Oryctolagus cuniculus: one gene and its partner. The protein of the gene in region 2 purifies or fractionates together with the protein of the main gene of each other region. This does not show direct contact. Links are inferred from orthologs where the notes say so. Each region holds a gene or a part of one and is shown on either strand. Other genes may lie near its edges.

Region 1 (15,126 bases), on a different chromosome or scaffold from region 2:
GAAAGCATCCAGAAGTCTAGGGCCGGTACTGTGTGTTAGGCTGCCATCTGCAGCACCGGCTTCCCATATGGGTGCTGGTTCGAGTCCCAGCTGCTCCACTTCTGATCCCGCTCCCTGCTGATGCACCTGGGAAAGCAGTGGCAGATGGCCAGGGAGGTTGGGACCCTGCATCCATGTGGGCGGCCCAGAGGAAGCTCCTGGCTTCAGCCTGGCCCCGCCCCGCCCATTGCAACCATCTGGGGAGTAAACCAGCAGATGGAAGACCTCTCTCTCTCTTTCTCTCTCTAATTCTGACTTACAAATACATAGATAAATCTTTAAAAAAAATTGAAAATTCAATAAAAATTATACCACACAGTAAAGAAAAACCCTAACAGGAAACAGCAGAAGATCATTACCCTTGTAAGAGGCCAGGGTTAACCCCGCGAGCACACACGTGTCACCATTCCAGTAAGAAAACACTGGTGGCCAAACCCACTCTCACCATCTCTCTAACAAAGGGAGTACCCAACAACATTGCGTCAGGTGCTTGTAGTTTGAAAAGCGAGCCACGCAGCAGCCCCACGTGGAACAGAGCTACAGCCATCACACAAAGGCAGCTGCCCCCCACGGCCACCTCAGACTCCCTCCTGGGCCTGCCCCTCCCCAGCATTCCACACATAGCTGCCCTGCTGCCCGCTCGCCTGCTCGGAACTGCAGGAGTGCTGGTGGCCAGGTTCCCACCCGAGTCCCAGGCCCCTGCACACGGGGCTCAGCGCCCCAGCCTGAGAAGATGGCTCGTCCCGGGACTGAACCTGCACTCTTCTTTCCCAATTCCACTGCTCTCGTCCGCGCTCTGCTCCCGACGCCAACCCCGCCACGGGGCTCAGAACCACGAAGCCGGGCTCCGCTGGACGCCCGCAGGCAGCCGGCTGGTGCTCGCTCCCGCCCTCCCTCCCCTCTTCCCACTGCAGCTCCCTTGACCTCTGCCCCCCCACCCCTCCTGAACAGACAAATCAACCTTCCTACAATTATACTCTGGCTCCACCACACCCCTGTTAAATGCCAGGTATGTCCTTCCCAGGGGTCTCGGGGAAATTAATTGTGTGTGTGTGAGAGCGTGTTTTCTATAAACAGGCCAGGGACAGAGAGAGCCACTCTGAGAGGTCTGCTTTGTTGGTGGGCTTATTTCTGCAAATCCAGAAAAGCAGACACCCAGTCGGCCAGTGGCAAAGCCCTGGGCGTGGCACAAGCTTATCAAGGACGAGAAAGAAGGTCTCAGCGTCAAGGATAATCCCCACGCGATCCCCGGGTCGGTTTACAAACACTGCCAGACTGCAGTGGTCTCATCACGGGCGCAGTGCCCTCGGGCTGGCTGCCCACCCCTCACCCTTGACCCCAGTGCCAAGATTCTCCCCCGCCCGTCTGCAGGCAGCACACACAGGGCCAGGGAACACGCCTGCCGGGCCCCGCCAGGGACTAAGGTCAGCGTTTACACCCTCCGGAGCCGGGCCACCTCATTTCGGGTAGGCAGCTAATTCCGCACCACTTCTAGGAGGAACGCCCCGGCCGAGAGAGAGAGGAGGAACCACTCCAGAGCTGACGACGCGGACGTGCACGAGACGCAGCGATTGCGTGCTAGGCGCACAGAGCTCGCCCGGCGCCGGCCTCCCAACCCCCGTGCTGCCAGCCCCAGCTCTCCTCCCCCAGGCTCCCTACAGGCAACAAAGTGAAGTGATAAAGCCCTAATCCCCGCGTGCGCACATGCACACACACACACACACACACGCACACACACACACACACACACGCATGCACACACACACACACGGGCGGAGGACACCCGGGGAAGCGCAGACACTTAGTGAACCAGCAGTGTCACAAACGCCTGGACCTGCTTGCCGGCCACCGCAGGAAATGTTCTCTCCGCCACCGGGAAGACCTCAGCAGCGCACTCACCCTTCTTCTGGATGAAAATCCTCAGCAGGGGGTTGGCCGTGGACACGGCTTTGTGGTAGTTGTCGTCGTTGTTGATGGGCAGTAAGTCCCCGTGCACGTCCGCGTAGCCCACCAGCACGTCGACGTTGGGGATCTTGTGAACGTGCTGCAGCAACCCGTAAAACTCCTCAAACTTCCCGGGTTTCGATCTTTCCAGTGAAAATCGACGAAATTCGGCTCCAAACTAAAAGTGTAACACGCAAGGCATGAAGTGTTAATTCTGAGTAAACATAAGACGACAATGCACACCACAGAAAAATCAGCAGGCATAACCGTATCTCCTTCACCAGGACGGTGTCTGACACACGACAGGGAGGGGGAGGGGCGGGGAAATACCATCGGGAGATAAACCCTGCAGGGGCGCCTCCCCACTGCACTCCCCCCAGAGACCCAGCTCCACCCCTGAGCTACCCAGGCCTCCCTGGGGACGTCCTGCCCCGGGCATGACTCAGCTCAAGCAAACCCTGCGTGCAGCCCGGACTCCCCCCACTCAGGTCAGAGGGCACGAAAGGAGGGCTCAAGTCTGCCTCCCGCCCTCCAGCCACGGCCTCCAAGTCCATCAGAGGACCTAATCTCCCGGGATGGGGCAGGAATCAGCAGACGCACAGGAACAAGGCCACTGAGCGCGTGCTTGCGGACAGAGGCCCAGCAGGACGCAGCACCCTCTCTATGACGACGCAGACAGCGCCACTGGGCCCATAGGCCCTGGAGAGGGAGGCCTCGGCCCGCTACAAAGCTTCCCAGTCCCACAACACAACACAAAACAAAAGGCCCGTGTGGATCAGTCTTGCTGCAAATACACTGTCCAACTTCGTTTAAGTTGTTGCCAAACTGACAGCAATGATGCTGCTATAGTTTCAATGATGCTGTGACTTAAAACCCGGATGCGTGAGGCTCCGCGTCTTCTCACCCACTGTGTACAGCCCTGCCGCTTCTCCTGCTGGACTGCGCTACCGTCTCTCCACTTCTTATCTGTCACACTCTCTATAGAGCTATTAGGGCTTCGACTACAGTGAAAACTAAAAATCTTATCTCAAAAAAATTTTAGGGGCTGGTGTGGCGGTGCAACAGGTTGAGACACCAGTATCCCATATGGGCACCAGTTTGAGCTCCACTTCTGATCCAGCGCCTTGCTAATGCGCCGGGGAAGGCACTGGAGGACGGCCCAAGTGCTTGGACTCCTGCACCCACGCGGGAGACCCAGATGGAGCTCCTGGCTCCTGGCTTTGGTCTGGCCCAGCCCCAGCCATTGCAGCCATTCAGAGTGACCCACGGATGGAGGACCTCTCTGCGGCTCCCTCGCTCTGCTCTCCCTTTCACATAGATAAGTCTTTAAAAAGGAAATGAATTAAGACCACGTTCTTGTCTACAAAGCATGATTACTGGAGGGAGGCAGCGAGGACCACACACGCCAGCTCTGGGGCTCAGCTCTGCTTCCCTCCACTCCGGCCCCGGTCCTGCAGTGGCTCCTGGTCAGCAGCCAGTAGCGGCCTCCTCACAGCCACCAGACGCAGGGTTTACAGCTCTGTGGGCCTCACAGGGCACTTCCTCAGGGGTGGGAGCCTAAGGTAGCGGAACCAGCTTCCCACACGACGGGGAGTGGAGCTGAGTGAGGGGCTCCCACAGGACGGCCACCGCTGCCAGGGCTTGCACAGGACGGCCACCACCGCCGGGGCTCCCAGGACGGCCACCGCTACTGGGGCTCACAGGACGGCCACCACCGCCGGGGCTCCCACAGGACAGCCACCGCTGCCGGGGCTCGCACAGGACGGCCACCGCTGCTCTCCGGATGCAGCCCAGCACACCTGTGACTCTACAGTCTACAAGGTTTCAACACCATAGTCACCGGCGCTGCGGCTCACTAGGCTAATCCTCCGCCTAGCGGCGCCGGCACACTGGGTTCTAGTCCCGGTTGGGGTGCCGGATTCTGTCCCGGTTGCCCCTCTTCCAGGCCAGCTCTCTGCTGTGGCCAGGGAGTGCAGTGGAGGATGGCCCAAGTGCTTGGGCCCTGCACCCCTTGGGAGACCAGGAGAAGCACCTGGCTCCTGACATCGGATCAGCGCGGTGCGCCAGCCGCAGCGCACCGGCCGCGGTGGCTATTGGAGGGTGAACCGACGGCAAAGGAAGACCTTTCTCTGTCTCTCTCACTGTCCACTCTGCCTGTCAAAAAAAAAAAATAAAAAAAAAAAACACCATAGTCACCTGTCAGTCTACAATCTATGTTTCAATACCACAGTCACCTGTCACTCTATAATCTACAATGTTTCAACACACTGACACCTGTCAGCTCTATAGTCTACAAGGTTTGAACACCACTGACACCTGTCACTCTACAGTGTACAAGGTTTCAACACCACTGTTACCTGTTACTCTACAGCCTACAAGGTGTCAATACCACGGTCATCTGTCACTCTACAGTCTACAAGGTTTCAACACCAGACACCTGTCACTCTAGAGTCTACAAGGTGTCAATACCACTGACACCTGTCACTCTACTGTCTACAAGGTGTCAACACCAGATACCTGTCACTCTACAGTCTACAAGGTGTCAACACCATGGTCAGCTATCACCCTACAGTCTACAAGGTGTCAACACCATGGTCACCTGTCACTCTACAGTCTACAAGATGTCAACACCATGGTCAGCTATCACCCTACAGTCTACAAGGTGTCAACACCATGGTCACCTGTCACTCTACAGTCTACAAGGTGTCAACACCAGACACCTGTCACTCTAGAGTCTACAAGGTGTCAATACCACTGACACCTGTCACTCTACTGTCTACAAGGTGTCAACACCAGACACCTATCACTCTACAGTCTACAAGGTGCCAACACCATGGTCACCTGTCACTCTACAGTCTACAAGATGTCAACACCATGGTCAGCTATCACCCTACAGTCTACAAGGTGTCAACACCATGGTCACCTGTCACTCTACAGTCTACAAGGTGTCAACACCAGACACCTGTCACTCTACAGTCTACATAGGTGTCAACACCACGGTCAGGTGTTTGACCGCAGGACTCGTTTTCCTTGGAAACATCTGATATTGTTAGCAAGAAATACATAGTAGGAGCTCAACCTCAGTAGCATCAGGCAGAGAAAGCCCCAATCCTAGCCATTTTGGAAGTGCATAAACATGCTGAATCAGCTCCCCAGAGGCCTTACTGGGTATCTGGATGCACTGTCTGCTTTACAGAAAAGCCCATCAGCTCTGCTTATGCCCTAAACACCACTCACCAGGTTTACGTTAAAATTAGAACTCACCCAAACCACCTCTTGCTGCTGATAAATAAAAGTTTGCAAAACACATTCCTGAAATATAAACACTAATATTCATCAAGAAAATAAGGTGACTCATATCCAAAGCTCTCAAAAAGTTCGGTCACACCTTCATGTTTCAAAGCAAATAAAAACTCAGGGAACACCCTTCCTATCAGCCAGTCTATGATGTTATCAGAAGTCACAGTTTCTCCCCCATTCCCTGGCTGGCATCACAGCACAGGCGGCCGCTGCGTCCTGATTCGTCTCCGGGTTATCACTCAGCCTGACTCACCACCCGGAACGACAGCTGAGAGGTTAACGTTTCGGGGGCTTCACTGCTTCGGCTCGAGTGTGTGGATGAGAATTCTTTGCTCAACAACCTTTTTCTCTTGCTTAACTCATTTGATAAAAATAGTGGGAAACCCTATGGCTTCAAAGTCAGATATGCCCTCTGTAAATGCTGGCAGGGGAAACACACTAGAGAAACTGTCACGCTTCCTGCAGCAGAACAAGAGGGTAGAGAACTTTTTACCACACGAAGAGAGCTGCCAAGAGACAGACTCAAGACTCAAGCAACCATTCCCCACTCCAGGACCCATTCACAGCTTTGTTTAACCGGCCTGGTTCCTCCCAGCCATTCACAATGTGTCAGACTCCCGCCCCCCACTATCTGCTGGCACATTTTAGAAATGACAACTTAATTTTAATGTCCTATTCGCCTGTGAGTAATTAGGAACTGTTCCGGCTCCAAGACTGTCCCAAGGTTACTAAAGGGCACCTCCATCAGTACTGAGAACTTCCCCAACTCTAGAGAAACAATTAGGGAGATAAATCAGTTACCAAAGAAAAGCCACGTGGTTTCTGGTATCACGAATTCAACCAGCTTGTTGACACTGTCCACTATGTTGATTACCTGTAACCATTCTTCCCTTCCCAGGCCAAGGTAATCCGGCCGACACTACTGATGTCCAGGCAGGGGCCGAGGACCCTGAGACGGCTCCGCCTGCTCTCCAGTGCTGGCTCCAAGCCCGCAGCCACGGCTGCCCCAGGAGCCCAGAAAGCCGAAGCAGCACCAAAGCAAAATGTGCTTCAAAAATCTCCCGCAGCAGAGGTTTTTAAGAGGACAAACAGCTTATTCAACCCATTCAGAAGTAAACACATCAACAACAGACATCGAGAAGCAGGGGCACGGGTGGCCGGGGCCCTCACTGCTCTGCCCATCCTCGCGGGACCACAGTTCCCGGCGCCTGGTCTCAGGCCGCCCCGATTCCACCTCGTGGCCGGCGCAGGCCTCGGGACGCCGGCAGGCCAACACCTAACACCCGGTTTGGGCCTCAGGTATGTGGGAGATTCTCAAGTCAGCTGACAGGAGGCGGCGAGAGCCTGGCATGCCAGCCCGCGCCGGGAGGAAATGTTTGCTTTCTTTCAGCAGCGCACCTACTAGCTCCACTCATTTTTTCCCTGCCACTTGCTACCAAGGTCGGCCTGGAAGCGGAATTTTGAGTGATGCAATATCACAAGTGCCTTTTCTTGACCTCAACTCCCACAAACCCGAGATGTGAATCCCTGCCCTGCTCCGCCGGGGCCCACGGAGGCCGCGCCGCGATCACAACCGCACTCCCCCGACAGGACGGTGGCCGAGACCAGCAGCCACCCCGGCCCGGCCCAAACACCATCGTCCCGCCGCGTCCCGGCTGCAGAGCCGCGCAGAGCCGCGGGACGGGACCGCCGCGCGCCCCGGCCCCTTCCGTCAGGACCGCCGGGCGCCCCCCGGCCCCGCGCCCCCGGCCCCCTTCCATCGGGACCGCCGGGCGCCCCCCGACCCCGGCCCCTTCCGTCAGGACCGCCGGGCGCCCCCCGGCCCCGCGCCCCCGGCCCCCTTCCATCGGGACCGCCGGGCGCCCCCCGACCCCGGCCCCTTCCGTCAGGACCGCCGGGCGCCCCCCGGCCCCGCGCCCCCGGCCCGCTTCCATCGGGACCGCCGGGCGCCCCCCGGCCCCGTGCCCCCGGCCCCCTTCCGTCCACGCGGCTTCGCGACTGTGGAAGCCGATCCGCTGTTCTCCTCCAACGCGCTCCGGCCTCGCCGGGTCTCTCCGAGCCGCCGCGGCTGGCACGGCCCAGGGCCTGGATTATTCTCGCTCAGGAGCGCCGAGCCGCGGCAGGCGCAGCCCGCGGAGCCCACCTGCTCACCTGCCGCCCGCCTCCGGGACCGGGGCCTGCGAGACTCCCGGGCCGCCAGCAGGGCCCAGCTCGGAACCCGGGCAGCGGACGGCGGCGCGGAGACCCCAGCGCACGCGCTGCGGGTGCCGGTGCTGATCCGCAGACGAAACGCGCTCCAGGGCTCCCCAGGAATCCGCCCGGCCGGGAGCAAAGCAACCCAAAGGGCGCTCGCCCCCTCGAACCCGAACGGGGGGACCGGGCGCCTCCGGCCCTGCCCCGGACAGGGCGCCCCACGGCTCCCACCTCGGAAACCAGAAGCCGGCGCCCCCACCCCGCCCTCGCGGGCCCCCGAGGCTCGGCCCGCGGCCTCCCCCGGCGCCCGGCCTCCCGACCGCCGCTCCGCCCAGGCCGGCCCCGCGCACCTTGCTCTTCACCTCCATGGTGCCCAGGCAGCCGCTGCCCGCCCCGTGCCGGTGGCTGCGGTTCATGTCGAGCGCCGGGCCCCGCGGCGGCCTCGTCGGCACCGGCCGCCCCTCGGGCGCGCGGGGAGCGAGTGCGCGGCGGGGCGCGCGGGTTCGGAGGGCGGCCGCGGCCCGGGCGCTCCGCGCAGGCACCTGCAGAGGGGCGGGCTGCTCACGCGGCGGGACGGAGGGGCGCACTGGCGGCGCGGCGGGCGCGGACGCTGCTCCCTGCCTGCGGGCCCGCGGCGGCGGCGGCGGCGGAGGAGGAGAGGGCGGAGCGCAGGCTCCCAGCGCCGCAGCCTCGCTCTCGGCCACCTCCCCCGCGGGCCCGCGCGCGCGCGCCCGAGCCGGGCCAGAGCCGCGGCGCGTGCGCGCGCTCACCTGCAGCCTCCGGAGCAGCCTCGGCCGCTCGCGCTCCGCCCACACCCAATAGGAAGCGCGCACCTGCGCCCGCGGCGCCAACCAATCGAAACACGACTCGCGGGGCGCATGGGCGGGCCTCCCTCGACAAAGTCCCGCCCGCCGCCGCACGATTGGTCCCGCGCGGCGGGGGAGGGGCGGGATTACCTGAAGCCCGGGGCCGCCTCTCTGGACCCCGCCAGAGAGCTGGAGAGCGCATGCGCAGGAGCTCGAGTTTCCGCCCAGAGAAGGCCGGCCGGAAGCGCAAGCGCACCTGAGGAGGGAGTCCGGCGGGTGTGCCTTCTGCGCACGCGCGGGCGCGCGCCGCGGGACTTGGTGCCGCTTGGGCTGGCGCAGCTCGGCGCGCGCTGGTCACTCGCTCGGTGCGGGGGACTGGGCGCGCGGCCGTATCGGTGGCCGAGGCACCGAGTGGCTTGCTCGGCCCCCGCCCTGCTGTGACTTTGGGTTGTGTCGCCCTTCACAACGCCCCCTTCCCCACCCTTTCGTGTTTTTAGGGTCCCGCTGCAACTCTCGTGCGCAAAATTCAGGTTTTTCGCCTCTGCGCGCTTATCTGAGGGAGCGCCTCGGCTCCGTGGGCTGGGCTCTGCGGGAGGCGGCTGCAGCCCGCCCCCACCCGTCCGTCGGGTCCCCAGGGGTCGGTGGGGGGAGCGAGGGGGCCTGAGGCGCCGGGGGGGGGGTCCACGCAGGGTTTCCGGATCCCGCTTAGCCTGGGCCCTGGGGGGGCGCGGACGGGAGCCCCGGGCCCTGCCGCCCTGCGAAGGGGCTCCCTGCATGCCGTGGAGACCCCCTCCTGTGCGAGCAGATGCCTGGGGTGCTGCTGCTCCTGCGTCCTCGGGACCTCCGCCCCTAGACCCCAGCCCCCTCCCGGGCCCCGCCCCCTCCCGAGCCGCGCCCTGGCGGGTGCCCAGCTGACGGGGAGGTGTCTGCTGGCCAGCCGGGTCCAAAGGTGAGGAATTCCTCTCCCCGGAGCCGTGGGTCCGCCCGGGCGGAAGCGCAGGTGGAAACCGCCCCACGCTGAGCAGGGCCGCCCTCTTCACCCCGCGGGAAAACACCTGTGCCGCTCGGCGCCCGCGTGGCCAGGGGCAGCTGCAGGCGAAACTCGCCCTTCGCCTTCGTTCGGGGGCTCTGCTCTCGGCTTGTTTGGTCTCAAGAGCCCCCTAGACTACTGCAGAGGGGCCCAAAGCGTGTTCGTGTGTGTCAGGTCTGTCCGTGCTCACGGCATTGAGAGAGACGCGTCTGCAGCACGCGCTCCAGCTGCCATCCGTGATGTCATCACGTGCCGTGTTCCTTCTGGAAAACCCCACGGTGGGCTGGGAAGCAAGGCGCAACACCTGGGCGTCGTGAGCATGTGGCGTGGCAACCCCCCAGGACGGCCTGGGGCGCCCAGGCGTGCACTGTGATGGCCGCTGGACCAGGCTCGGTCGCCTGGGATTCTGCGTTCTCAGCTCTCGCCCTCCCTGCCCTGGGAGCAGGGCCGCAGCGCTGAGCCACCGCGGGGTGACGGAGCTTTATTGCTAGCAGTGCTGATTTATCAGGGCTTTTGAGAAGGAAGTTCCCGGGTGCCAACGCACCTGCGTGGGCCCGCATTCCTGGAGGTGGCGTCACATCCCCCTCCCCCGGGCGTGGCCTCCCTCTTCTCTTGGACTTTCCTTTCTGGATCCCGAGAGGAGCTGGCTCTGGAGGCCTGCATCACCCATCCCCGGGCGCCTGGGTTGTGCAAGGGAGGAATGAGGGAAGAGGTTCCAAAGTGATAGAGGGGCCGGCGGCGGCTTCTCACAGCCGTGGGGCCTGAGGCTCACCAGGCCTGTGTTTCAGCCTCCGCTGAGAAGCACGAAGCCCAGAGGCGTGGCTCAGAGAGGGATTTCTGTCCCTGCTCTGCTGTTTGAAGACTGGCCCTAATCTTCTTTCTCCCCGCCCCCAAATCCTCCCGTTAAAGCTGATCCAGACCTCCCCGTGTGCAAAGGAAAGCCAGCTCCACGCCTGGGAGGGTGACCGGGGCTCCAGTAAGGCAGGTGGTGGACAGGTCCACACCATCCTTGCGCAGGACCAGGCTCCGGAGATGCTCACGCCCCGGTCAAGCTTCTTACCCGCCCGAGGTCTGAAGGAATCGGGGCTGGGCTCTGCCTTACTCTTTCCCAGAGTTCTCTAAGTTCCGCACCCCCCCCCCACCCGCGACATCTAGCTCGCCAGGTGGAGAAAGTTTGTCATCTTCCACCGCCAGCTTTCTCAGCTGACATCCTGCATGGCGATGCCTTGCTCTCTCTCGCTCTCTCTCTCTCTCTTTCTCTCTTTCTCTCTCTCCCTCCTCTCCTTCCTCCAAACATCAGGAGAGCGGCAAGACGTCCCAGACGATGCTCGGAGACATTTTTCCAAGGAATCACTCTCGCCAGCTCTTTTTCTCCTTGAACGCCCAAGCTCCAGTTTTGAGGGAGCTGGTTAATAATTCTTCGAGAAAGCGCCGAAGTGGATATTTATGAATCTCGGGCTATTCACCCAAGCATTTTAAGCCCTTTAGCAGAGGTGGAATGAAGTCACATGACCTGCTTTCTGGTTAATAGCTTATCATACTTGATTGCTTTGTGGCGGGGCCGGAGCCGTGGCGCCCACACCAGGGAAACGTGGGGAGGATTTCCTGCAGCCTTTCAGTCAAAGGCTGCCCTCCTGGGGGGCTGCATGTGCCAGGCACCGTGCCTAACCTTGCCCTTGGCTTGGTCCGGCCATGAGTTTGCTGTCTGACCTTTTTCCTCTCTGGGACTCGATTCCGCATCTAAAAATGCAGGCAGGGATGAGATCATCGCCGCGGTTCCTTCCAGCTGTGAGTGGTCTACGGTTCCCCAGGGGAAGTGCAGATCGATCGTTAGCCCAGCGTTCCCGGCCGCGGGCTGCGGTGGAGAGAGTGGTCTTCCGGTCGGAGTCTGCAGCCCGGGAGGCACTGGTGGAGTCAGTGATGGACACACAGGCCTCGCAGGTGCCAGGAACGGTGCTCGGTGCTTTTCCATGGACTAACTTACTTGATGTTTTTAGAAACTTTTTTTTTTAAACTTTTTTTTTTAAAGGCTGAGTTTCAGTAAGAAAGGGAGAGATAGAGATTGGAATCTTCCATCCACTGGTTCATCCCTCAAATGGCCACAATGGCCAGGCCTGGGCCGGGGTAAAACCAAGAAACCAGACTCCATCTGAAGCTCCCACATGGGTGGCAGGGGCCCTAGTGCTGGACCTTCCCAGGCACATCAGCAGGGAGCTGGCTCGGAAGTGGAGCAGCTGGACACGAACCAGCGCTCCTATGGGCCAACAGCTGCTCAATCTGCTGTACCACAGTGCCGGCCCCTAAACGCTTTTTTTTTTTTTCATTTTTTGGATTTATTTGTTTATTTACTTGAAAGGCAGAATAACAGATCTTCCGTCTGCTGGTTCACTCCACAAATGCCCACAAGCCAGGGCTGGATCAGGCCAAAGCCACGAGCCAGAAATTCCATCCAGGTCTTGCACGTGGGTGGCAGAAACTCCAAGTACCTGGGCCAGCATCTGCTGCCTCCCACACACTTTAGCACGAAGGTGGATTGGAAGCTGGAGTCACAGGAACTAGCCGCTCGGATATGGGATGTGGACCTGCTGTGCCACAACGCCAACCCTTAGCTCATTAAATTTTCAGTTGCATGAAGGAGCTTTGAGCTTTATTTCTGGAGGCACTGTTTTTTTTTTGTTTTGTTTTGTTTTGTTTTTTTTTTTTTACTTTTTTTTTAAATGCAAAGTAATAGAAAGAGAAGGAGAGATACAGAGATTTTCCCATCTGTTGGTTCACTCCCCAAATGGCTGTGACAGCCAGGGGTGGGCCAGGCTGAAGCCAGGAGCCAGAAACTCCACCTGGTTTCCAATGTGGGTGGCAGGGGCCCAAGCCTGGGCCATCTTCTGCCTTCCTGGGCACATTAGCAGGGAGTTGGATCAGAAACCAACAGCTGGGACTACAACTGGCACTCTGATATAGGATGCCAGTTTTGCCACAATGCTGGCTGGCCCCCAGAATTTTTTTTCTTTTGATGATTTTTTTTTAAGTGTTTATTTTAATTGCATTTGAAAGGCAGAGAGTCCCAGAGAGAGACAAAGAAAACAGAGATCATCCATCCACTGGTTAGCTCCCCAAATGGCTGCAACAGCCAGGGGTGGGCCAGGCTGAAGCCAGGAGCCCCAGAACTCAATCTAGGTCTCCCACGTGGGCGGCAGGGACCCGGGTGCTCTTGGGCCGTCACCTGCTGCCTCCCAGGACGTGTGTTAGCAGGAAGTTGGATAGGAAGTAGAGTAGCTGGGACTTGCAGCGGGCACTCTGATTGGGACGCAGGTGACCCAAGCAGTGACCTACCCTCCGTGCCAGAGCACCCGCTCCGGGTCGTGCCTTGTCAGCTGATGGATGTTCGTGTGGGTCCTTGCTCTGCTCCTTGATGGCTGAGTGGCCTCGAGCCTGTTCCCTGACTACTCAGAGCCTTGGAGTTCTCTCCGTAAAAGCAGACTGCCATGTCTGGCTCAGATTGAACCCACGGGCTCAGCCCACAGAATGCCAGGGACCTCTCAGTACTTACTCCTTACAAACACGGTGGTCTACCAAGGCTTGGGAAGGAATTCCTTGACATAAAATGCAAACATGCAATGAGCCATTCTTCCTGTTTTCACACACCTCTCAGAGGAGCCGGGAGGCAGCCTAGAGTGGTCGTTAGGGGCAGACTCAGGCCACATACCCACAGCCAAGTCCTGCCTCTGCTGCTTCCTGGCCGTGTGACCTCGGGCAAGCTCTTGGCTCCTCTGTTTCGTCTGTAAAATAAAGATAATTAATTGTCTTAATTCACATACAGAGTGCTTAGGGTGGGTCCCAGCCCAGAGTAAGGACTCCATAAATGTCCCATTATTGCTGTCTAATGATTTTAATCACTTATTGCCATAGTAGAATTCTTGAATGTGCCGGGTATTTATTAAGTGCCAACTGTATGTGCTTGGCGTGAGTTAGAGGACAGGATAGTAACCAAAGAGTGAGGCTGTGGGCGCTGCCAGCCGGTCCCTCAGAGTCCACAGATGGAAGGGGTCAGCCGGCCCTCAGCACCTGGTGGACGAATGTGGACACAGCAGAGTGCTTGCCGCCAGTCCGGCTGAGCAGTCAGGCCCCCGGGACAGAGCTGCAGCTGTCCCAGAGGGGGCGCTGCAGCTGGCATCTGGTCCCAGCGGCCTGTGGATCTCGGGCTGCAGACCGCATGGTGCCTGCCTGGGGTGGGAATTGAGGAGAGCAATCCTGTCCACTGCCTGTGACTTGACTGTGTTCACTGAGGGCCTGTTATGTGCCGGGCAGTGAAGGAAACACTGATTTAAAAAGACAAAAGCCAGGGCCCACGTTTGGCCGGGTGGTTAAAACATGAGTTGGGACTCTCGCATCCCATATCGGAATACCTGGGTTCAAATCCCAGCTTTGCTCCCCATTCAAGCTTCTGGCGAATTACCATCCCTGGGAGGCAGCGGGCAAGTACACGGGCTCCTGCCACTCACGTGGGTGCCCCGGTTGGAGTTCTTGGCTCCTGGCCTCAGCCTGGCCCAGCCCGGGCTGTTGCAAACATTTGAGATCAAGCTAATAGGCAGCTCTGACTGCCTCTTTGCCTCTCAAATACATAAAATGTTTTTAAACATACAAAGTCTGGGGCCAGCGTTGTAGCACAGCGGCTTAAACGGCCACCTGCGACACTGGCATCCCACGCGGCTTCCAGTTTGAGCCCCAGCTGCCACACTGCGGGTTCAGCTCTCTGCTGATGAGCAGAGGACGGCTCAAGTGCTGGGCCTGCACCCGCGTGGGAGACCCGGAAGAAGCTCCTGGCTGCAGGCAGGCCCAGCTCGGGCCATTGCGGCCACTTGGGAAGTGAGCCAGCAAATGAAGACATCTCTCTCCTCTCTCTCTCTCCTCTCTCTCTCTCTCTCTCTCTCTCTCTCTCTCTCTCTGGCTTTCAAATAAATAAATAAATCTTTAGGAAAAAAAATACAAAGTCCTTGCCCTCTTGGAGCTGAGATTCCACGAAGGAGGGACAATTGCCTTAATTCATTACAATAAATGGTTTGTGAGTGAGAACAGCCACCGGCCTGGGGGCAGGTGGAGGTGAGAGAGCAGCCGCCCTGGCCCGCGTTGGTGGGCGGAGGGCTGAACCCAGGGCGCCCCGGCGCCTGGCGCGGTGCAGGGCGCGGGGGCATGACGCTGTTTTCAGCTCTTACTCAGGGCTCTGCGGCTGGGGGCGGAGCGGGAACGCTGAGGCCTCGGGGGAGGCCCACAAGCTTCGGTGCTGAGGAATGAGGGGGAGTGTGCGGGCAGGGGCATTCCAGACCGCGGAGCAGGGCAGGCGCGGGGCGGGGGCGCAGCGAGTGCTGGTGAGGCGAGGGGCGAGGGGCGAGGCCTCCGGAGGCCGGGCTACACCGGGGAGGAGACGTGCTCCAGGGGCCACGGAGCCGGGAGCCAGGGTAGGGAAGTTGGGGGGTGGGCCCACAGGGGACATGGCCGGGGACGCGCCCCTCGCGCCGCAGTGAGTGTGGGCAGGAATTCTGGTGCTGTGGGAGAGGCTGGAGGTTTTCACACCGAATGGCGTCGGCAGCTGATGGAAGAGGGTGCATGGCTGAAATGAAGGGGGCGGGGGTGTTCTGCCCTGCGTGGGAAGGGGCTGCCGCGGTGAAATTTAAGTACAGCAAGGTGTGTGTAGGTGGACCGGGCCTTTCCAAGCATGGGGGGGGGACGCCCCAAAGATCACTGCAAGTACAGAAAGAAGTGTAGCTGGAGATTAAACGCCACCAGAACCCTGCATTCCATGCCGGGGGAGGCGGCCCA
Region 2 (15,307 bases):
CGAGGTGCCTGTTGGACATTCACGCAGGGAGCTGGGCAGAGGCCGAGAGTGTGGGGAGAGGTTAAGGCGAGGGACACGCGTGGGCACAGGAGCACGTGGCCAGAGGAGAGCGCGGGGCCTGGGACCTGGGGCGGTTAGGGAAAGACGGGGAACAGGAGTGGACCGAGAATGTCCAGGGGCGCAGGAGAAGTCAGGGAGGAGGGCTGAGCTGCGTTTCCCTTTGCTGAGAGGCCAGGCAGGGTGGGGGAGACGCCCCGATTCGTCCCTGTGATACGGGGGCAGGAGACGCGACACAGAGACGGTTCTCACCCGCGTCTGGCACCGTGGGTGTGGGCACGGTTCTTTGCTGCATCCGTTGCTACCAGCTTTTTGGAACTTGCACGTAAGCCTAGAAATTGCTGCGTGTCACTCGTGCCCAGAGTAAGGCCCGGGAAAGGACAGGTACTGGAGGGACAGACCTTGCTTTGGGGGCGTGTGCGATGGCGTGTGGTCCAGCCAATCCCAGGCTTGGAAGTCTGGGGGTGTCCAGGAGAGGAGTGGAAGGGGTGCAGGAAATCTTGTATCTGCAGAAACTCTTTCGTGTGTTAAAGAGTGGGTATCTGAGCTTTTCTTCCTTTTTCTTTTTTAACCTCCGAGGTCTTCAGCCACCTGAAGAGACTGGGCTACGTGGTTCGACGGTTCCATCCAAGGTCAGTCCCTGTGCCTTCGCCCTCCCGCTCATTCCCGTCCCGGGACCTGGCCAGTGAGCCTCAGGAGGAAAGTGGCCCTGCACCTAGAGCGCAGCTCCCTGGACGTGGACCAGGGGCCCGAGGTGGAAGTGCTCTGTGGAGGGCTCGTGGGGACAGGTCCCGTCCTTGTGCTTTGTCCTGGGTCGTCAGGCGACCACTGAGCCCCGCAGCTCACTGTGTGTCCTGGGATGCAGGGTGGGACTGCGCCTGGCTCCTGGGAGGTGTGGGGGCAGATTTGCCGAGTAAGGACCAAGTAAGGAATTCACAGTTGTGAGGTTTCACGTGACTCGTGCGAGGGTGGGTGTTCTCTGTCACCTTAGAATCCAGCGTTGCTAAGAGCCTCAGACTTTGACGGTATGTCGTGAAAACCTGAAGAGACGCATCCTTTACTCCCTAAGGGTGCGGTCTGGCCTAGAGAAGTAGCGCGGATGTGCGCACGCCACACTGTTCGTGCACTAGCACTCGCTGACCACTGGCCGGTGCCAGGCCCTGGGTCCGTTTCTGGAAACGGCAAAATCACGGCCCTGCAGAGCTGGCACTTCCCCGGGAACTCCGAGTCGGTGTGCTTGGAGGTCTGTGTGTTCAGCAAGTGCAGGCGGATTACCAGGAGTGCGTCCCTCAGAGCAGGACGTCCACTCGGACTTTCTGTGAGCATGTCCTGTCTGTGCACCGGACATGACCTGTGCAGCCATGGCACTGAGTCATTTTGACTGATTTAAATTGAACTTAAATAGCTACTTGTGGCCAGTGGCTGTAGTGATAAGGGGTCATGTTCGTAGTAATATTATTAAACAAACAAAAAAAAGGGATTGCAAAGCATTTTGTTGGTGCATTGCCATTTTTGTCAGAAAAAAAAAGCATGGAGCAAGGTTAGTGTATACATATGAGGCTGGTAGAGCTTTTAGTTTTCATTTTAATTTTTCTGTATTTTCCAAGCCTTCTGGCTCTATGTGGTTTTTCTCACCAGTGATAAATCACTTATTGCTGACTCTGGGAGTCCTAACTCCAGAGGCCTGGGGGCGTCTGTGGACTCCCTCTGTGGACCCCTTGTGCAGATCCGTCCGGGGCCCTGACCAGTCCCGCTTGGGCATCAGGGTGCAGAGGTGGAGCTGTTGTCCCCAGCCCCCACGGTTGTCACCCCACAGCTCTGTCCTGTCCCCATACGAGAGGCAGCCCCCACCGTTGTCACCCCACAGCTCTGTCCTGTCCCCTTACGAGAGGCAGCCCCCACCATTGTCACCCCACAGCTCTGTCCTGTCCCCTTATGAGAGGCAGCCCCCACCGTTGTCACCCCCAGCTCTGTCCTGTCCCCTTACGAGAGGCAGCCCCCACCATTGTCACCCCACAGCTCTGTCCTGTCCCCTTACGAGAGGCAGCCCCCACCGTTGTCACCCACAGCTCTGTCCTGTCCCCATACGAGAGGCAGCTGAACTTGGATGGCAGCGCCCAGCTCTTGGAGGACGGTCCTGGCAAGAAGAAGAGGAGGAGTTCGAGCTCTCGGTAGTGCTCCCCCCCAAGGCCACCTGGGAGGGCTCAGCCTTAGAGCCGGCCTCGGGCGGCGGCACATAGGCTCAGGGCAACACCAGGGGCCGAGTGCAGCTCAGCCACCGGAGCAGATGCACTGCTTTTCCCGCGTCCCTCAGGTCCGTGAGTAAGAAGGCCAAGGCGCCGGACGACTCCCTGCAGCCTGAGATCCTGGCGGCCTCCGGCCCTCCTTCCTACAGCCAGCACGGCCCACGTGTGGAGGAGAAACCCCAGGAGTTGAGCCCAGGACAGGGCCCAGCCAGCCCCTTTCCTCTTCCGGGGTCCCTGGAGCCCTGCCCTGGCCTGGCCGGGGAGGGGATGGGGTGCAGCCGGCAGAGCGGCCACGTGGAGAATGGGGTCACGGGGGCTGCTAAGCCGCGCTGGGACTTCTCCCAGATCTCCTTCCCCAACATGGCGCCAGACAGCCGCCACACCCTCCTGCCAGCCCCGGCCCCAGAGCTGCTCCCCGCCAATGTTGCGGGGCGGGACACAGATGCCGGCTCCTGGTGCCAGCAATTGAACCAGCGGAAGGAGAAGCTGTCCCAGAGGGAGCGGGAGCAGCAGGTGGAGGCGCGGCACTTCCGGGAGGACGTGAACGCGGACCCCGAGGTGCGGCGCTGCTCCGGCTGGCGGGCGTACAAGGAGCTGCTGCAGAGGCGGCACCGGGAGAGGAGCCAGAGCCGGCCGCCGCACCTGTGGGGCCAGCCCGTCACCCCGCTGCTGAGCCCTGGCCAGGCGGACTCTCCAGGTACCCTCTCCCCCGGCTACAGCCCGGCAGGCTTCTGACGGCTGAGGAGTCAGGATTCCGAAGGGGTGTGGAGTGGCCAGGTCTGGTTGAGGCACAAGATAGAGGAGCCCACAGGGACAGCCAGATCCTCGGGTGGCAGCAGAGGGCCCGCACGGCAAGGGGGAGAGGCGGTGTGTCAGGCCAAGCGGTCCTTGAAACCACAAACGGTGACGTGGGCGCCTCTGCCCCCGGTGAGCTGTGGTCCTCTCTCCTCCCGCCTCTTGGCAGAACAAGGAGGTAGAGGAAGGCTTGCTCTGTGCTCTTAATTTTGAGCACGGGGCCCTAATGGGGCCAGAATGGTCTGAGCTAAACACATGAACAGGTTCGGAGGTACTGAAAATCTAACCGGGAAAAGGGGGTGGCAGACGCAGAAATGGCGGGAGCGCGGGTGACTGGCCGCCTGCCCACCCCTGGCTCTTGCTCTCCGCAGCCGCCGTGCTTCACCACATCTCTGTGCTGCAGACAGCGCACCTGGCTGACGGAGGCGCTCGGTGAGTGTCCGAGCTGTGCTCGCGGTACCCTGCTTGCCCTGGGGGGTAGGCGGCCGGGATGTAGCTCCTGCGGTTGGTTGTGAGCTGGAGGAGCCTGCCAGGGACCCCTGCCCACGTGCCACAGCTGGTACCCATTCACGGCCAGGGCACGGGGAGCAACGCCAGGTGGGTTTAACCTGGGAGTCGGGAGCCCCTCCCCTTAGAGGACACGGCTTCCTGGAACTGGTGGTGGGCAGGAAGGGTGACGGGGACAGTCTGTGTCCTGAGGTTTCCCATCTCCGCAGGCTGCAGGGCAAGGCCGGGGACCTGGAGATCAGCTTTGATGTTTACCAGGCTGACGCCGTGGCCACGTTCCGGAAGAACAACCCTGGCAAACCCTATGCCCGGATGTGCATTAGCGGGTACGAGCCGGGCGAGCACCGCCCCAGGCTGCTGCCAGCTCTCTGGCCAGGGTGCCGATGGCCTGAGAGGAAGCTGAAGTCCGGAGAGGTTTAGTGGCCCACACAAGGTCTTTCTCCCCTGCGTTGGTCCCTGTGCAGCAGAAGGGATGTAGGTCGGTGGGGTTCGTGGGCACAGGGCTCAGAATTCTCTTCCGGCCCCCTGCAGACCCAGGGCTGGGGGCTCCCCGGTGTCCAGTTTGCAGGCAGAAGAGCCCAGATGCTAGAATTCTTGCTCCCCCACCCCTGGCCCCCATCTTCCTTGCCTGGGAGCCTGGGAGGGGCTCAGAGCCCAGGATGGTCAGGTCTGAGAGCAGCCCTTGTCCGTGCAGGTTCGATGAGCCGGTCCCCGACCTCTGCAGCCTCAAGCGCTTGTCCTACCAGAGCGGGGACGTCCCCCTGCTCTTCGCGCTGGTGGACCATGGCGACATCTCCTTCTACAGCTTCAGGGACTTCACGCTGCCCAGGGACCTGGAGCACTGACCACGCGGCTGGGGGCGGAGGGGCTGCAGCCTGCCCTGGGGAGACCTGGACTGTCTGTTCTCAGGGACCATCCAGCGGCCTCCCGGGCCTGGACTCTGACCTGTGGTCTGGACCTTGGCCCTGGTGCCTGACACCACTCCCCTCCTCCCTGCCTGGCCGCTGCACGCTGCCAACGCCCGCACCCGGGATCGCCGCCTTGCAGGGACCCCTTCGGAACTCAGACCCGGGCAGAGGAGGGGGCCCAGAAGAGAGGACTCTGTGCCTTTAACGAGAGGGTGCCTGCTTCTTGCCATAAAGCCAAAGCCATTAAAAACGGATCTCTTTATTTTTGTGCGTGGTTGGATATGCCGGACAGACCCCCAGCCTCTCCTGTTTGGCCACTCACTGGGAGGCGCGCGCTTTGGGGCGGCGGAGGGAGGGAGGGCCTCTCTTCACCAGAGCGGGGCGGCTCAGGACACAAGGGTGGCCGGGAGGCGCCGGGTCGGTTTAGTTTGACGCTGCGCCCCGGGGGTCTGCCAGCTGCTGCGGGGGGCGCAGTTCTAGCCCTTCGGCTCCCGCCTCTCCAATCCTCTCCCTGGCTTGAGCTAGAAACTCCCGCCGCTGCTGGCCTCCGCAGTGGACACGGAGGAGGGTCCTGGTTTGGGGCCCACCCCAGGGAAGGCCTCGCCCCCAGCACCACTCCTCTGCGCGGTGCGGGAGGGCGAGGCCCGGCCCAGCGTCCACCGCGGTCTCCAGGGCTCGCACCCTCGGGAGGAGCCGCCCGCGGGGCCCCTCCGGTCTGGCTGGCAGGCGTTCCGGGAACTATTTCCTCTTCCAGGAGGCGGCGGGGCACTGGGCGCGGCGTGCTGTCCTGCGGCCAGGTGCGCGCAGGTGAGCCGGGGCGGGCCGGGCGCGCCCCGCCCCCGCGCTCCCCGGGGCCGCGGATTGGCCGGAGCGCGGCCCCCGCCCCCGAGGGCGCCCCTGCGCCCCCGCCCCGCCGGCGCAGGCTGGGGGGCGGGGCGGGGAGGCGGCCCCCGCGGCGGGCCGGCTCGCCCTTTATGTAAATAGCGGCCGCTCCGCCCCCGGGCCGGCCGCGCCGGAGGTGAGCAGGAAGCGACGGCCGCCCAGCAGCCCGTGGGCCGGCGCGCGGAGCCAGCGGAGCGGCGCCGGGGGACGCCGAGGCCTCGGGCGGGGCCGGCCCGGGTTGCAGGTGAGGCGGCCGCACGGACCCCACTGGGCGGGCGGCGGGCCGAGACCCCCGGGCGGGGCGGCGAGGCGCGGGCGGGGAGGGCTGCGCGCGGGGCCGCCCGCCTGGCCCTCGCCCGGGTCGCTCGGCTCGCCTGGGAGACGGACACCTGTGGGAAGTGCCGCCGGGAACTTTTCCGTCAGACCCGCCCGCGGCGAGCGAGCGCGGTTTGCGCGACAGTGGTGGCCTTTGAGAGCGGGGGAGCAGGTGCCCGCCCGAGTGGGTGCGGGGGGCTCCGTGCGCGAGCGGGGCCGGGGACCCCGGACCCACGTGCAGGGCGCGCGCCTCCGGGCGCCCCTTCTGCGCGGGCGGCGGCTGGAGCGCGCTCCCTCGGAGGCTTAGCCCTGCCATCTGGGCTGCCTCCGGCCGGCCCTTTGTGCGTCCTAATCCTCGGGCGCAGGAAGCCGGCGGGAGGGACTTCGGCCTCGGGGCCTCTCTCGGCGCCGCGCACCTTCGGACACCTGTAGGCGACGGCCCCCGCCCCGCTTTGCACGCCGGCGAGTGGGGGGGGTGCGCGGCGGGACGTGGCGAGCGGTGGAAAATTCTTGCCGAGGGAAGTGTGCCTTGGTGTGCTGGACGGCTGGTGGCCACTCCGGTGGCTGGCCGCGACTGTAACCAGGACAGCAGGTGTGGCCCTTTGAGGCTCTCACCTGAGACAGGTGAGCCTTGGGTGAGGAGGGCGGGGCTTACACTCGGCCCCCAGCCCCCCCTCCCCAGCGGCTCCACTTGCAGGTGCAGGCCGCCCCAACCTGGGCTCGGGAGACGCCTGTCACTCCGCACAGGGGATTCGGAGCGGGGAGGGAACTGGGAGGGAACGGGTGTGTCGGGGTGACCAGGAAACCCAGGTAGGAAGAACAGCTGCCGCGATGGGCTGGGGCCAGCGCCTGGGAGCCCGAGCTTGGCGTGGCTTTTGAGGGAAAGGTCTGGGTGTGTGCCAGGCGCTGGGAAGGTCGTGGGAGATTCGTCAGCTTTGGAACTCCCCATGGTGCCAGCAGTCATTGAGGCTCTGACCAAAGCCCCCTCCTGGCCTCTGAGGTTAGCCTGGCTCCGTCTGTGTGGGCCCCTGGACGCTCTTTCCGGGGCCCCAGGTGCCTCAGTGACGCTGCGGCCCTGGTCTTCCTTGAGGAAAGAGGGTCCCATCAGTGACAGGTGGATATAACTTAATTCTAATAATCTCTGAGTAGACACGGTATTGAAAGAAGGGGGGGGCACCGTGGCTCACTTGGCTAATCCTCCACCTGCGGCACCGGCATCCCTTATGGGCACTGGGTTCTAGTCTCGGTTGGGGTGCCGGGTTCTAGTCCTGGTTGCTCCTCTTCCAGTCCAGCTCGCTGCTGTGGCCTGGGAGGGCAGTGGAGGATGGCCCAAGTGCTTGGGCCCTGCACCCGCATGGGAGACCAGGAAGAGGAACCTGGCTCCTGGCTTCAGATTGGCGCAGCTCTGGCCGTTGTGGCCATTTGGGAGATGAACCAATGGAAGGAAGACCTTTCTCTCCCTCACTGTAACTCTACCTGTCAAGTAAATAAAAAGAAAATGAGGCCCAGAATCCCAGGTGACCCCCATTGTTTTAAATAACGGAGAGGCCAGAGTAGGGGGGAAAGCATCAAACATCTTAGGAGGCGTGAAGATGGAAAATTTTTAATTTGCAAGGCAGAGACAAAGACCTGAGTCTCCCCAAATGCCCACAACAGGGGGGCGGGGCCAGGCTGAAGCCAGGAGCCCGGAACTCCGTGTGGGTCTCCCGCGTGAGTGGTAGGCACTGTAGTACGTGAGCCGTCACCTGCTGCCGCCCAGGGTGCGCCGTAGCACACTGCTGGGCATGCAGGCCAACCCAAGCAGCTCTTAGCTGCCGCGGCACAGGCTGGCCCCCGGTGCGGTTTGAAGCCAGGCCTGTGGAGTGCTTGCTGGGGACCGACCTTGGGTCACCTGAGCCTGTTGTGGCGCCTGTCACTGTTGCCGAGAAGATGGGACGCATCATGGACAAGTGTGGCTGGGTGCATAGCAGGCACGGGAGGAAGGTGAACATCTTGGCTTCCCTGAACGAAAGCGTTGGTTGCTCAGATCTTTGGGTTGGTCCTGGGTTTTTTGGAAGAACCTGAGGGGCGAAGTGAATTTGACCCCGGCTGGCCGAGGGGTTGCAATTTAGTGACCTTTCAAAGCCTCTGCAGGTCGCTGCTTTCTTTCCTTTCCTTTTTTTTTTTTTTTAATCTTTTTTATTTGAAAGTCAAAGTTACACAGAGAGGAGAGACAAGGGTAGAGAGAGGTCTTCCATCTGCTGGTTCACTCCCCCAGTTGGTTGCAGTGGCTGGAGCTGAGCTGATCAGGAGCCAGGAGCTTCTTCCAGGTCTCCCACTTGGGTGCAGGGGCCCAAGGACTTGGGCCATCTTCTGCTTTCCCAGGCCATAGCAGAGAGCTGGATGGGAAGAGGAGCAGCCGGGACTAGAACCGGCGCCCATATGGGATGCTAGCACTTCAGGCGGCGGCTTTACCCACTATGCCACAGCGCCAGCCCCATGGTCGCTGCTTTTCAGTGAGGAGGCTCGCGGAGGTAGAGGCCAGGGGCCTCTCTTGGCCTGTGCTCCGGTGGCCTTTGATACTTCCCTTGCTCCGTGGGAGAGTCGGGAGTGAGGGCTGATCGAAGACTTAGCTTAGAGCCCTTCCAGGGTGCAGAACCTAATCTGCCCTAGGCTCTGGCCAGAGGGTCCCTGCGTGCCCGCCTCTCCCAGGCCGGGGGAGGAGCGCATTCCTGAGTGGCTCTGTTGCCATTAAGCTTTTCTGGGAGCTCCAAGTGCCTCCTTTCAACCTCATTTGGGGGAGGGGGTGTTCTCTCCTGCCAGCACTTTCCCAAGCCCCTCCCTCCAGGAGAGAAAGTGGTGCCCGGAGCCCCTGCCCCCAATCCTGCTGGAGAGTGTCCAGGGCTGGGTTTCCTAGGGGCTTACCCAACCCTCTTGGAGACTGCTGGCAGCAGCTGTTGAGGCACCTGAGTTGAGGCCATAGAGGCTGCTGTGGGCTTCCTGGGCTCACCCGCCATGGGGCCCTCACTCGGGCCCTGTGGCTGTGGGGGCTGCTCCTGGGTCCGGGCAGACATGCCCTGCTGGCTGGCGACTTTGTGGGAGACACAGTACCGGACAGGAAAGGGGACCTTCCACAGTGGGGCCGCCAGCACTGCCCCCTCCCCCAGGGGACCCTCCTCCCTTGCTGTGCCTGGCCAGGGGCTTTGCCCAGCTCCCTTTGGGGTGGGCTCCTCTCCCCACCGGGCCTCTCAAAGGAAACCAGGACTTGGAGGAGCCATGCCTTCTCTTGCTGGGAGCTGGGGTGAATTCTTGAGCTAGGAGAGGGGACAGGGGAGCTGCTAGGTTTCAGGAATTCAGCAGAGACCCAGTGCTCCAGGGTTTGACGAGAGGGACATCGGGCGTGGGACTCCTGGAGTCTGGCAAGCGCCACTGATACTTAATCACACTCCCGGAGTCTTGCCAGGGAGCGGCTGTCCTGCAGCCCCGGTCAGAGGCACAGCCCACCAGTGTGTCCTGGTCAGGAGGCCTGGTGTGGCGACCCCATGACCCTGGCCAAGTCCAGAGACGCATCTCCGTGTCCTGGGGGGTCAGCGATGGAGAAGACTGTGCCTGGTTCATCCCTGGGCAGTCACCTGTCTGTCCACTCCCTGAACAAGTATTTATTTGTGCCTGCTGTGTGCCTGGCGTGGTGCTAGGCAACCTAATCCTGAAACCAAGCAAAGGTCTCTGCCGTCACGGAACCTTCTCTCTAAAGGGAGACGGGAAGGAGGGATGTGGAGTAACACGCGGGACCAGCGCTGTGGCGCGGCGGGTTGAGCTGCTGCCTGCGGTGCCGGCATCCCATGTGGGCGCCGGTTCACGTCCCAGCTGCTCCACTTCCCTGCTTGGGCCCCTGCCACTCACATGGGAGGCCCAGATGGAGTTCCTGGCTCTGGCCTGGCCCAGCCCTGGCCATTGTGGCCACTTGGGGAGTGAACTTGTGGATGGAAGATCTCCATGTCTCTCTCACTTTCTCTGTAACTCTTTTTTGAATAAATAGGAATTTTTTAAACAATGTTTTTAAAAGAAGGTGATATTCTCTATAGCGTAAGAATTAGAGCTGGGTTTGAGAACTCCCTGGTAGGAGCAGGTTACGGCTTTAAAAGGAGTTCAAGGGGCCTGCACTGTGGCACAGCAGGTTAAACCACTCTCCTGTCTACAGTGCCGGCATCCCGTATGGGTGCTGGTTCGAGTCCCGGCTGCTGCACTTCTGATCCAGCTCCCTACTAATGCAACTGGGAAAGCAGTGGAAGATGGCCCAAGTGCCTGGGCCCCTGCATCCGCGTGGGAGACCCGGATGGAGTTCCTGGCTTTGGCCTGGCCCACCCTTGGCCATTGCGGCCATTTGGGGAGTGAATCAGTGGATGGAAGATCTCTGTAATGACACCTTTCAAGTAAAATACCTATTAAAAAGGGGTCAGAGTGGGCCTCGGCAAGAAGGGAACATTGAACAAAACTCAAGACAGAGTTCTTGGTGTGAGGACCTGGGTGGGTCGTTGGCAGTGCAGCCATGGGAGAGTGCGGCTCTCCCTCCTCCAGGAGCTGGCGTCTTCTGGAAGCTCCCTGGGGCTGCTGTTGTGATTCTGGGGCAGTAGAAGGTCCGGGAATGGGGCTCAGTTGGACAGGCCTAGGTAGCCTGCCTGCCTCGGCCCCAGGCAAACTGTCCATCTTCTCGCTGAATGGTTTTGCTTTTCCTTGTATTTGACCACTTCTGTCACCTGCCTCTCTGGAGAGCATGGTAGGTTGTCTCACAGTAGAGGACCGAAGCCCCCAGTCTGGGCGTGCACAGGGCAGGGCGGGGTGGGGTGGGGGTGGGGGTGGATGCATGGAGGGGACTCTCAGGCTGTAGGATGGCTGGTGGGGCTGGGAGCTGGCCCCACAGAGGCTCACCCAGCCTGTAGGGTACTGCTTTGTCCCAGGAGAGAGGCTCTGGACTGAGCCCAACACGGGCTGTACAGATGAGTTCCAACTGAGACCTAGGTTCTCACCAACTGCCCGGGCTTGCTACCACTCCGGGTTGGTTATTTCGAAAACAGCTAATGTTGTAAGAACCAGATGATGCTCACAGTGTCCCTAAAGTGACATCTGGCCTCAGCCCCGGGTCCCTGTATCCCTAACAGCAGTGACAGTGCCCTCTGCCCCACCTCCACCAGGTGCCCGCAAGCATTGAGGTTTGGTTGCTAAGCTGCTGGTGGGGCATCAGGCTTCCCGGGACTACACAGGCCGCTGAGCTGGCGCCAGCAGGAGCTGGAGGGGTCAGCAGCTGCCCCGGTGGCTCCGAGCCCTGCTGCACCGCTCCAGTTGGTAGGAGGTGCAGGGGCGGTCTCACATCCGCCACACCGGAGGCCAAAGCCACACACAGGCCTCGCACAGGATGTCGGGGAAGGGAGGGCAGCTTCTGAATCAGCCCGGACTCCTCACCCTGCGCTCCTGAGGGCGGGAGGGAGCTGTGGCAGAAGCTGGGTGCGGACTCTCCCGGCACCTGTGAAGGGACTTCGTAGGGGGCTGGCCCTTCCCACACCTGCAGGAAAGGACGGGCTCGGCTTGACCAAGCTGAACCCAGGTGCCCCAGCAGTGCCCGCGGGGGATGGGCACTGTGACCCAGGAGTCCTCCCTCCCCGCTCCCCCTCCTCCTGGCCCTTCCCACACCTGCAGGAAAGGACGGGCTCGGCTTGACCAAGCCTTGGACTCATGGGGACAGCTGAGCCCAGGTGCCCCAGCAGTGCCTGCGGGGGATGGGCACTGTGACCCGGGCATCCCCCTCCTCCCTCCACAAGCAGCCCTCTGCCTAGAGCAGGGGGCTCCAGGTGGGCCCGCCCTTCTGTGGTGGTCTCTCTCTCTGCCGGTGATCTCTGCTGAGCTCTTGAGATGCATGAGGTGGGGGCAGGCAGAGGATGGAGGAGGAAGGCAGGGCCTGTCGCTGAGAGGATGCCGCCTCTGGGCGTCAGGGTGTGGGGGACCTGCCCGAGCCCCTGGGACTGTTGTGCCCGCCGGCGCCAGTGGTGGTGATGGAAGCGGTGAGAAGAGACGGAAGTTGCGGGACCAGTGGCCACAGGGAGCTTTCGGGCTACTGCCACGCCCCAGGCACAGAAGCCGCAGGGGTCAGCAGCAGCCGGAAAACAAATAGGACTCCGCCACAGCTCAGCACGCTGACGGCACACTGAGGCGGGGGAGAGCGGGGAGGGTGGCTCGGAGGTTGTTGGTTGGGTCACACACGTGGTCGGGTCACACACGTGGTCGGGTCACACAGACGCCGTCACGGGCAGGGATGGGGTCTGGGAGAAGCTGGGGCGAGGGCAGCGGTAGAGAAGGTGTTTCTTGGGCAGCCCCAGGAGTGGTGCTGTGGCCCCGCGGCGTCCCCAGTGACTGCCGCGTTGGTAGTCACTTCTCCCACGCCCCTCGGTAGGAGGAGCACTGGAGAGGAGTCTGGGCATTTGCCAGGCCGGCCTTGGACAGCCCCACCGGGTCAGAACCCTCGAGCCCAAGGTCTCGCAGCTGCTTCGCCTGCCTGTTTGCTTGGCTCTCCGGCCTTCAGACCTGGCTGATCCACGCGGGTTCCTGAGAGGCAAAGCTGCCAACGGGTCGCGCAGGCCCCACCCTCGCCCCGAACGCCGCCTGGGGCGTCACCCTTCGTCAGGTCCCCTTGTTGTCCACCCTGCCTGGGAGGCAGAGAAACCAGACAAAAATCGCTGCTAACCGCTAGCCCTACGAGCCTCTTCCAGGGTGTGCGTCTCCAGCAGGTCCTGCCTGGCTCACGATCTCATGTGAGTGTCCAGGTCACCAGGAAGTCTCTGCCCTCTCCGTGGGGACAGGTGCTCAACCCCTCGCCTGTGCTGGTTGCTGGCCAGTGGGTTGGTTCACTTTCCCCGTAGCTTAATAACCAGCAGGAGGCTGGGGCGAGCATTTGTGGGGCTAGATGGGCGCCCCATCCACTGGTTCACTACCCCCCAAGTGCCCTCAACAACTGATGCCAGAGCTGGGTGCTCCATCCAGGAGCTCCCGCGGGTGGCAGGGTCCCACGTCCTGGAGCCATCGCCGCTGCTGCCCCAGGGTGTTCGCTAGCAGGAAGCTAGAACCCAGAGCGAGGCCGGGACTCCCACCCGTGAGGCGGTGGTGTCTTCACCACCAGGCCTAATTCCACCCCACGGTGTGAGCAGGGCGTCATGTTAACAGAAGGCGCAAACCCTGCGGGAGCACAGCGAGAGAGGGAAGCCCTTGGGAGGGGACTTCAGATGAGCTGCGTTCCAGACAGAGCGGGTGGGGCCGGGGGGAGCTGAGCAGGTGGATCTGGTGTGGGGGGTGGGGTGGGCGGGACAGCCTACAGGCCCTGCTCAGGACTGTCAGAGCTCCTTGTGTGCCCCGCAAGCCCCGCCTCCCACTCGTCTCCGTCCTCCCGGAACAAGCTCGTCCCATCTTCAGGCTTTGTGCCTGTCAGTCCTGCCCAGCTTGCTGTGCCCTGGAGTCTGACCGTGTGGCCACCACTTCCTGCCTCTCGCTCTCACCTCTGCACAGTGAGTGCTCACCAGGGCAGTAGGATGCGGCAGTGACTGAAGGACTTGAGTAAGAATGAGAAAGCCGCAGCTTGCGGGAGGCTTCGCGGGTAACCAGCCGACCGGAGGAAGAACTAACCTGTTCGCGAGTTGACGGCGCGGCCGACGCTCAGGAAGGCAAAAGAGGGCGGAGGACGGAGAGTGGGAAGGGACGGTCCAGAGCCCTTCAGCCGCCCCAGCCTGGGCGCTGCTCTTAGCATCTTGATTTTCTTGGTGGCCGCTGGAAATCATCCCATGCACCTGCAGTCCCGGGATGGGGCCTGCTCCGTCCGCCGTGAGCGCTGTGCCAGCACTCCCCCTACTCCTCCTTCCAGGGGACCCGTGCAGGGGGAAGCACCTCTGTAGGGGAGCTGTCTGTGCAGCGCAGGAGGCCGCAGGCTAGGCTCGGCTCGGAGGGGCTGAGCTGTGATGGTCAGGCCCTGGCCTGTTGTACCTCGCCTGGGGCTGTCTTCCCTGCATTCCCTGTCTGCCTCCAGGAGTGGGCCGGGGAGATAGGATCTGCTCCACACCAGGCCGCTCCGGGCCTGGCTTCCTGAGGTTCCACCGCAGGAAACTTGCTTGTCTGGGGTGGGTGGTCCTGAGGGGCTGCCTGGAGGTGAGTCCAGCCAGGCCCAGACCTGTCCCCTCGTGTCCTCTGAGAAGAGGTGGCACTCGACTTGGGCAGTCACTTCGCTCTCGGGAGACTGCGCTCCGGGGCGGATGTGGGCCTGGCTCTGGGCTGAGGGCAATTGTGGGAATGTGTCTGGGCGGGGCCTGCCTCCTGATTGCAGGGTGCAGTCGGGCACCCTTTGACCTGTGCTACCCAGAGCTCTTAGAGTTGGGGGGTTTGCAGACCTGGGGCCGGGCCCGAAGGCTGTGGCTTCCTGCTCGGTGACCTTGTATGGTCGCCCAGCTGCTGTGGGCTTTGCCTCGTCATCTGTCCCCAGCCTGCTTACCTGTCAGGGGGCTCCAGGAGTGCGAGCAGGTAGAGAGGTACCGTGTTGCCCTGGCTGCCTGGACTTGGGTCTGCTCTGCATTGTTTGCTTCTACGAGAGCAAAGGGGCTGTGCCTGTGCCTGGTCTGCAGCAGGTGCTCCCAGGGGCCTTGGGGTGAAAGGCGGGCGCTGAGTACGCCTGCCCTCCTGGTGTGTGTCTGCATCCTGTCTGCCGCCCTCCTCCCGGCACCCCCGCCCTCATCTTGGTTGTGGCCTCTGAGCCTGCGTGGGGTCCTTGGCCATCTGTGTTCCTCCCTGGAGTCTGCAGGCCCCTCTCCTGCTCCAGGGAGTCACTCCCAGCTTCCTCTGGCTTCTGACCCAAGTGACCTTAGCCCCTGGAAGGGGGAGGGGCTGCCAGAGGAGCCTGCCACCCTCCCCCACGGCTGGAATGCACAGAGGCGGAGGCTGAGATCCCTGCTTCCTGTCCCGGGAGCCTCCAGGGCTTTGGTGCTGTGGGGCCTCAGGTCAAGTGGGCACCTGAGTTCCCAGTGACGTGGGAGGCTCCCGCACTGGTGGGCTGCCCCCAGACCTGAAGGCACAGACCTCCCCCATCACACCCTGGCCCTCTGGGGGTGTCTGCAGGCTGATGTGCTCTGAGGGTGGTCCTGGTGTTTGGTTTGGAGGTGGCCTGCGGGAGTGCAGCTTGGTGAGCCCTGGTTTGTCTAGGAGACACCCCCACCCTGTGATGCACCCGCACACCTGGGTGTGCCTCCAGGAGCTGCGGGGGGGGGGGGGCTGTTTTAACAGAGTCTTGGCCTGGTGGCTGATTTAGTTTTGTCCTGCCTCCCAGGAAACCACACTCTTCAAGGCTTCCTTCAGGCCTCAGCTTGGAAGACCCCCCCCCCCCTTTGAGACCCGTGTCCCCCTCCGTGCCCTAGTGACTGTGTTCCAAGGTGAGTGGGTCCGTTGCCTTCCCCCTAGAGCCTCGCGCTGAATGAATGAAGCCATTTCCGAGCCCCGTGTTTCCCGGGGACTGGCCTGGCTGGCCGTGCCCGGCGGGAGGCCACGAAAATGGAAAGTGGAAGCCGGAAGAGGAGCTCAGTTGGTCCTTCCCCC

What was found.
Region 1: the proteins of LLGL2 (region 2) and PARD6B purify together in Homo sapiens (affinity purification with mass spectrometry; 7 studies listed by BioGRID and IntAct, counting the BioPlex papers as one, with this or other methods). This does not show direct contact. The link is inferred for Oryctolagus cuniculus from reciprocal best matches to the Homo sapiens genes LLGL2 and PARD6B.

What each region holds. Positions count from the first base shown.
Region 1 is NC_091442.1:10,156,644-10,171,769, forward strand, and holds the start of PARD6B (partitioning defective 6 homolog beta), read right to left. Parts: upstream 8,210-15,126; 5' UTR 7,893-8,209; coding exon 7,827-7,892; intron 2,162-7,826; coding exon 1,939-2,161; intron 1-1,938. UniProt on the Homo sapiens protein: Adapter protein involved in asymmetrical cell division and cell polarization processes. Probably involved in formation of epithelial tight junctions.
Region 2 is NC_091448.1:5,042,222-5,057,528, reverse strand, and holds the start of LLGL2 (LLGL scribble cell polarity complex component 2), read left to right. Parts: upstream 1-5,486; 5' UTR 5,487-5,639; intron 5,640-15,041; 5' UTR 15,042-15,144; intron 15,145-15,307. Other genes in the region: TSEN54 (tRNA-splicing endonuclease subunit Sen54), read left to right, coding at 637-689, 2,127-2,228, 2,372-3,000, 3,470-3,530, 3,815-3,931, 4,300-4,450. UniProt on the Homo sapiens protein: Part of a complex with GPSM2/LGN, PRKCI/aPKC and PARD6B/Par-6, which may ensure the correct organization and orientation of bipolar spindles for normal cell division.